Bombyx mori: one gene and its partner. The protein of the gene in region 2 purifies or fractionates together with the protein of the main gene of each other region. This does not show direct contact. Links are inferred from orthologs where the notes say so. Each region holds a gene or a part of one and is shown on either strand. Other genes may lie near its edges.

Evidence for each region.
Region 1: the proteins of exosome complex component RRP41 (region 2) and protein HBS1 purify together in Homo sapiens (affinity purification with mass spectrometry; 3 studies listed by BioGRID and IntAct, with this or other methods). This does not show direct contact. The link is inferred for Bombyx mori from reciprocal best matches to the Homo sapiens genes EXOSC4 and HBS1L.

Annotation. Positions count from the first base shown.
Region 1 is NC_085121.1:12,890,615-12,894,534, reverse strand, and holds protein HBS1, read right to left. Parts: upstream 2,905-3,920; 5' UTR 2,591-2,904; coding exon 575-2,590; 3' UTR 378-574; downstream 1-377. UniProt on the Homo sapiens protein: GTPase component of the Pelota-HBS1L complex, a complex that recognizes stalled ribosomes and triggers the No-Go Decay (NGD) pathway.
Region 2 is NC_085134.1:3,235,845-3,239,776, reverse strand, and holds the start of exosome complex component RRP41, read left to right. Parts: upstream 1-1,374; 5' UTR 1,375-1,794; coding exon 1,795-1,965; intron 1,966-2,320; coding exon 2,321-2,393; intron 2,394-3,819; coding exon 3,820-3,932. UniProt on the Homo sapiens protein: Non-catalytic component of the RNA exosome complex which has 3'->5' exoribonuclease activity and participates in a multitude of cellular RNA processing and degradation events.

The DNA of each region.
Region 1 (3,920 bases), on a different chromosome or scaffold from region 2:
AAAATGGACCTCGATACGCAGATCGCAAGCGACCAACGGATCGGCACGTCCGCACTACCGAATTGTACGCACGATGTATTCACGGTCACTACACTGTCGAGCACAACTGTGAGTTCAGAGACGCAGCTCGCAAGCGGGCCACGGATCGGAAAGCACGTCCGCGCACGACCGAGTCGTGAGCGAGAATGAGAATGTCCATTTCGTATACGACTTGTAGGATGCTTAGGTCAATTTTAATAATAAAAGTAGCACAAAATTGAGAATACTGGCTGGTGTCCTGAATGATTTGAGAATCAGATAAACTGCAATTTAAGGACGTCGATAGAATCTTCTGTTTAGCATATTCTCATAGTTTTCAAATTCAGAAATAAAAAACATTTGTAACATGAAACAATTTATTAGCATTACATTATAAATAATAAATTATACTTCAAAACAGTACATTATTGTAGACTATTCACGCGTGCAAAGCTAAAATGTCCAAACATAACCATATTTTTAATTTATCACATCTTCAATTAGTAACAAATCTTTTAGTTGTATATTTAGATTATAATAATCTTTATCAGATCAATCATGTGCTGATAATATCAGTGACAAGGCCTGCTGCTATGGTGACACCTGCGACGCGTAACATAACACGACCAAGCTCCTTAACATCTTTATATCTCTCGATGCATATGGGCCTGCTGGTCTCAATTTCAACAACTGCCACAGAATTATTTCCTAAGCAACGAGGTTTCTTTTTAATTAGCTCACCGGTACTTTTGCTGAGTAATGCCTTAAGCTTGACAATATTAGCAGATTCTACCAATGATTGATAGTGAACAAGCACCGGAAAGCCTTTTGTTATTGGTACTTTAACATTGAAAACTACTATTCGGGCCTCGAAACGTGTTGTAACAGAAACCTGCTCAATAGGATCGCTGAGTATGTATCCAACTGACACATTCTGCATGTCCACCCCAGACAAAGTCAATGTGACTTGGTCTCCAGCAAATGCTACATTATTAGTAAGATCATTTATACTTAAACTTCTAACTTCAGCCATTTCTTTTGTTGGACAAACCAATACTTTATCGCCCTTCTTTAGAACTCCGTTTTCAATGCGTCCCGAAACACAAAATCCAGAACCGGTACCTTTGAACACATCATTGATTGAAATACGTAATGGCTTAGACACAGGCCTCTCTGGAACATTGAATTTGTCAATCACATCTAAAAGACAGGGTCCTTTGTACCATTTAGTTAATTCAGGTTCGCTTGCTGGTTTCACAAGATTCTCACCAATGAGTCCTGAACAAGGCACATAGGTGACATCTGTATCTTTGAATCCTGCTTGTTTCAAAAAAACCTTAAGTTTATTGGTGATTTCATTAAATCTGTCTTGAGACCAGTTGGCTGTATCCAGTTTGTTAATGGCAACAGCCAGCTGACTTACACCAAGTGACCTCACTAGTAATGCATGTTCTCTTGTTTGACCACCGAAATCAAATCCGGATTCAAACTCTCCCCTAGTTGCATCAACTACCAACATAGCAACATCAGCTTGACCAGCACCAGTTATCATATTAGGGATAAAATCAGCATGCCCCGGTGCATCTAATATTATAACCCTCTTTGTCTTTGTTTCAATCTGGGCACGCCCAATATCCATAGTGATTCCTCGGACTCTTTCCTCTCCTGTTTCATCAAGCACCCAGGCATACATAAAGCTTTGCTTTCCAATCTTTTTACTCTCCTGTTCATATTTGTGCAAAGTTTTTTGACTGACTTCTCCGAGCTCACATAATAATCTGCCCATTAATGTAGATTTTCCTGCATCAACATGACCTATCACGACAATGTACAAATGATCTTTGTCAGAACCTCTCTCATTGGCATATTGTTTTTTTGCATCAATTTTGTTCTCTTTTACTTTTAAATTTTTCATGTCATCATTTTGTTCAGTCTTGCTTTTTTCTGGGTGAGGAGACTGCCCTCTAGGTGTCTGAGGGCGACTATTAGGCTTTGGCTCTTGGTCCACTTTAAAACCCTTGATTACAGCACTCTTCTGATCTACACTTGTAGCTATAACTTTAGGAGCTACTAATGCTGTTGTGGTTTTCACTGTATTAGTAATAACAGGCTTAACTGGTTTAGATGTGGATGAATCTTTATTTTTACTCTTATCACTATTAAGTATATCGTCTAAAGCTTTGTTGTAATCAAAATTATGTTTAAGCACACTCTGAATCATTGTATTTTCCGATACTGTATCACCTAAAATATTCCGAAGTTCATCTAAGCAAGACATGAGCCTGGTTTCACCTTCCGCGTCAAGCTTGAGGCTGCAGAGGTCGGTAGACTCTCTTCGTTGTGGGCCCGGTACTTGAACATCTTGAACTTCATCTTCGGCTTCCTCCTGGATATTGCTGTGTCTATCGAGAAGGTTAGATATCACCTGTTGGTTTCGTGATCGGTCGTAGATCCATTGCGACGCATCACTTGGAGATAAACAACTATCCTCTTCCACTGAATGTCCATAAAAATCATCGTCATCATAGTCATCAGAGTAACTTCTGTTCCGAATGTTACGATGTCGAGCCATTGTTCATTAATAATATCAAAAGTGTTCCTATGTTACAGAAACCATATTTGCAATAAATGGATGTTTTTCGGAAAAACTCGCAAAATAAATAACACGTTTCGTTTTGGGTTAGTGACAGCAATGACAGCAGCTTTTTTGACATTAGTCGTTTTACTTTTTCGATACAGAAAAGGCGAAAATATCACACCGAATCCAGTGGAATCTTTTGTGTGATTATTCTACCCGATGATATGCAGGCGAAGTAAAATGTTCCTTAGAAATAAGGTGACACTCTACAAAACTTGCATACGCCCCGTCATGACCTATGCAAGTGTAGTGTTCGCTCACGCGGCCCGCACTCACTTAAAATCATTCCAAATCATTCAATCCCGTTTTTGCAGGATAGCCGTCGGAGCCCCGTGGTTCGGCAGGAACGTCGACCTCCATGACGACCTGGACTTAGAGTCCATCAGTAAGTATCTGCAGTCGGCGTCGATGCACCACTTCGATAAAGCGGCACGACACGAGAACCCTCTCATCGTGGCCGCCGGTAACTACATTCCCGATCCTGCGGAAAGAATGGAAAGCAGTCGACATCGCCCAAAACACGTCATCTCGGATCCTCCCGATCCACTAACGGTGCTTTTAGGTACTTCAAGCACCGGTCACCGTTCTCGTCGAACCCGTCGCTTGCGACGAAGGGCTCGACGAGTAAATTAACCCTCAGACACAGCCCACTGAGTTTCTTGCCGAATCTTCACAGTGGGTCGCGTTTCCGATCTGGTGGTAGATTCTGCGAAGCACGGCTCTTGCTAGGGCTCGTGTTAGCAACGTCACAGGTTAGAGCCCCGCGAGCTCACTTACTCGTCAAGTTACGCAAGAATAACGTTCTAAGGTACCAGCATAGGTAGGAAAAAAAAGAACGCATTGAAGTCATGTCAATATCACCAATTTGAGGAAGCTCGAAATCCCAATTCTCCGGACGCGGTCATAAAATAATATCTCGACAGATCCTCTGGTCTCCATAATTTTATCTATGAATTGCCAAGTAAATATAAATTAATGTAAATGAGGTTCATTCGTGAAGCAGTTGCCTTTGAGTTGTTAGTTTTCTCCGGAGGCCCTCAGGAGGCTGTTAGCAATTACCGTCGCTCCTGGCTGAGCCGGTGCTCGCTTGTGAAACTGGAAATGCCACCAGGACACCAGTAATCCTTTCTCTCAATTTTTTTTCCATTATGAATGTGAAAATATTTAAAATGCTTCAAATGCTAAATACTGCTTAACAGTGCTTAACAGAGTTGCGTTTCTCTATTGTTTCAGTAAAGATTAGCATCACCCATCTCTTGCAAAT
Region 2 (3,932 bases):
GATATGTTATGGCCAACGTCACCGATATGGCGAACTGGGTACCTGTCAGGTATGGTACGTGAATTCAACGCACGATAATCGCCGCAGGGTCGCCAGGTGCCGTCGCGCTTAGGGACCATATGAAGTGGAGAAGACCACGAACTTTTCGAAGGTCTGGCTGTCCCGCACTGTACCATATCATCAAAAACCTTTTTGGCCTCTTGAAGTTTTTGAGGTGCCAGACGTCTAGGACGACAAGAGACTGGGGCGCCCTCAGTGGTTAGAATATAATGAACTGTGTTATGCTTCGGCTCACGAATAAGTCCTGGTGGCTTCGTAATGGACGGAAATTCCGCAAGAAGTGCACTAAATTGGGATGACGGCGCGCAGACAACTTTGACGCTGGTCTGGTCTAAAACAGCGACGGCAGCAACGTATGACAACCCGGTAATGCTATCGACGAGTCTCTTACTGGCACAATCTGGCAACAACCGATAATGCGCCAGAAAATCGGAGCCGATGATGGCGGTGTTGACGTCAGCGATAATAAATCGCCATTGAAATGTGCGGCGTAACCCCAAATTAAGCGCCATTTCTATGTGACCAAAAGTGCGTATCTCACTACCATTGGCAGCCGCTAACGTATAGTTTGAACGTACCGGCTTATTTGCTAACCACTGGTATGGGTAACAGGAGAGGTCGGAGCCTGTGTCTATTAAAAAACGGCGCTTGGTTGCGCTTTCGGTGACAAATAATCGGCGACTCTCCTTTAAGCAGTCAGACGTCGCCATCATTGACTGCTTTTGTCGTTTTCCGAAGATGGCGGCGGCGTCCAGGTACATGGTTGAATACACTTAACAGCTTTAGTATTAAATTTCCTATGGTAAAAGCACATTTGAAGCTTACCAGGCGTTTGTGAGCGTCGTCGCTGGTTTGAGAAATCCCGGGTCCTATTTCTACCGCGCTCTGCAGTAAGCACAGCAAGCTGACGCGTGACCTCATCCAGACGCCGTGTGATATCTTCTAACGAAGGGGTTGAGACGGCAGACGTACTTGCTGAGAAAACAGCAGATGAATGAGGTGCGACCATACCAGGCGAAACTTCCAAAATTTTGTCCGCTAGCTCAGCGACTTTGTCCAGCGAGAGTTCTGATTGGGCGGCCAAAATTGCTTGGAGATGTTGTGGGAGGCGACGCATCCATAGCTGGCGAAGCAAATTTTCATCAGTGAGGGTTTTTCCTGCCAATGATCTAAGATAACGTAAAAACTGCGAAGGACGGCGGTCACCCAACTCAACATCACTGACAAGTTGCCTGACACGTTGCTCATTAAATTGGAAAAATCTTAGTAAATAACCACCATTTTACTGAGATTATATTTCATCCCATATCATCTCATTTCATTTAATTTCATCTCAGTTGATTAATGTCTCAAATTAATCATCTTCGTTTCATTTCATTTCATCTCACTCCATATTATCATTTTGCATAAAAATAATAATATAAATTAAAATAAGAAATGACTTAAAGGTCTTAGTTACCAGGTCACACTACCCTGAAAAAAAACACGATAACATAACCTACAAAATAAAGTTTAAAAAATAATTGAACGAAAATAATATATTTATTAGTCTTTATTCTTTAATAACCATAACGTCCATAACCAATCTCATGAATTATTAGAATCACCGCGAATTTTAAAAACGGAATCGACTATGATAATATAACATAGTAAAAAGCAAATATTTTTAACAAAACAATTCAACATATTGAACAATTCATTATTTTTTAATGTGTTTTTGTTAGAAGTTAAATAATGCCCGCTGCCGATCTACTCTCGAGTCAAGGACTACGTCTTGACGGGCGGAGACCCAATGAATTACGTCGGATAAGATGTAAACTTGGTGTATTCACCCAGCCTGATGGAAGTGCGTATCTCGAACAAGGAAACACGAAAGTGCTTGCAGCCGTGTATGGACCCCATCAGGTATATGATACAAACGATTTACAAATACTGATTAGTTTACCGTGGCAAAACGTCTGTAAATCTGCCTGAGTAAATAATCATCACTATCCCGCTACTTCTGCTACAAAATTGCACTATTTCTGCTACAAAAGTGTAATGCCTTCTGGCTTGAAGAATAAGACAGCTATTTTACAATATTGAAGTATCGACCCATGTGCCAAGGTCGCATTCACGTCTTGATGTGTTTCAGCTTTAGTAACCAAATTCTTACCAAGTAGCTGGTAAAAAATATGTATTTACACATTTTAGGTACTTCATTTTCGGACACGTTCTTCATAAATGAAAAACCTTCATTATAATTTAAAATGTTTTTCAGGCTTCAAAATCGAAGATGTCGACAGAAGCTGTAGTTGTCAACTGCCAATACAGTATGGCTACATTCTCAACAGGTACCCATTGAGAGTTCAACATATTTTCAAAAGCCTCTTCAAATAAATGAGATTATATATAGAGAAAAAAATCTGTATGAGCTTAATCGCACATTAAAAATACACAAGTTAATAACATCCGTGGATTTCCAATCAATCTTAGAATTAATTTCAGTGTGTACATTTATTTGTTCCTGCACATCATCAGACCTACTGAACCAGATACGTTTACTACGTACGTGTAGTTTTTTTTATGGTGGACAAAAATTTGTTTGTAACAGAATAAAGGTTTTGTTTTATTTTAATCAAAAGATGCAAAAAGTTTTCATCATTTAAAGTTTTATGGAATTTACTTAGTGCCATTATATGTTAGAAAATATACAGCAAATAATAACATGAAAATGAAAGAAACTCTACTATGGGAAATTAAATAGGATGCATTTTATCCTAGTGTTAAGCACAGTCAGCGGCAGGCAATAGCTCTGCCCCTGACATTGCTGAAGTCAATGGGCGACATTACTGTGTGGTTACCCACTCACCATCAAGTAGGCCGTATGCTCGTCTGCCTACAAGAGAATAAAAAAAATTCTCCACTCACATAATATAATATGTAATTTAGGTAAGCATATAGCTGGCAGATAGGCAGTTATATTATAAATGTTATACATTTGAAAACAATACAATTATGTATGTGATAAGCCTGCAGAAGTAGGTACTGTTATATGTTTACAATGAAGCAATCATGCTTTGCAGTTTCATAATACATTTGAGATTTTGACTGTCTCTCAAAATCGGTGGCATTATACACACTGCGATGTCTATGTATTCTACCCATTTAAAAGTTAAAACTAGGATATTCCCTCGTCAGTACAAAAAGAAACTAAGATAGACCCAAAGATATGAATATTCTTATCTACACAACTTATAAGGGTTATTATATATATATGCCTATTAGGCTACATAACTTATTATTTTTTTTTTTTTTATTGCTTAGATGTGTGGACGAGCTCACAGCCCACCTGATGTTAAGTGGTTACTGGAGCCCATAGACATCTACAACGTAAATGCGCCACACACCTTGAGATACAGTTTTAAGGTCTCAGTATAGTCACAACGGCTGCACCACCCTTCAAACCGAAACGCATTACTGCTTCACGGCAGAAATAGGCGGGGCGGTGGTACCTACCCGTGCGGACTCACAAGAGGTCCTACCACCAGTAATTACGCAAATTATAATTTTGCGGGTTTTTTTTATTACACGATGTTATTCCTTCACCGTGGAAGTCAATCGTGAACATTTGTTGATTACGTATTTCATTAGAAAAATTGGTACCCGCCTGCGGGATTCGAACACCGGTGCATCGCTTCAACACGAATGCACCGGACGTCTTATCCGTTAGGCCACGACGACTTCTAAACGACTTATTATCGAACATTTCGCATCTAGGTGAACGAAAGAACCGACCTCGCGGGGACCGCAAGTCACAAGAAATGTCAATGCATCTCCGACAAGCTCTAACTGCTGCTATTAAAACTGAAATGTATCCAAGGTCGCAAATA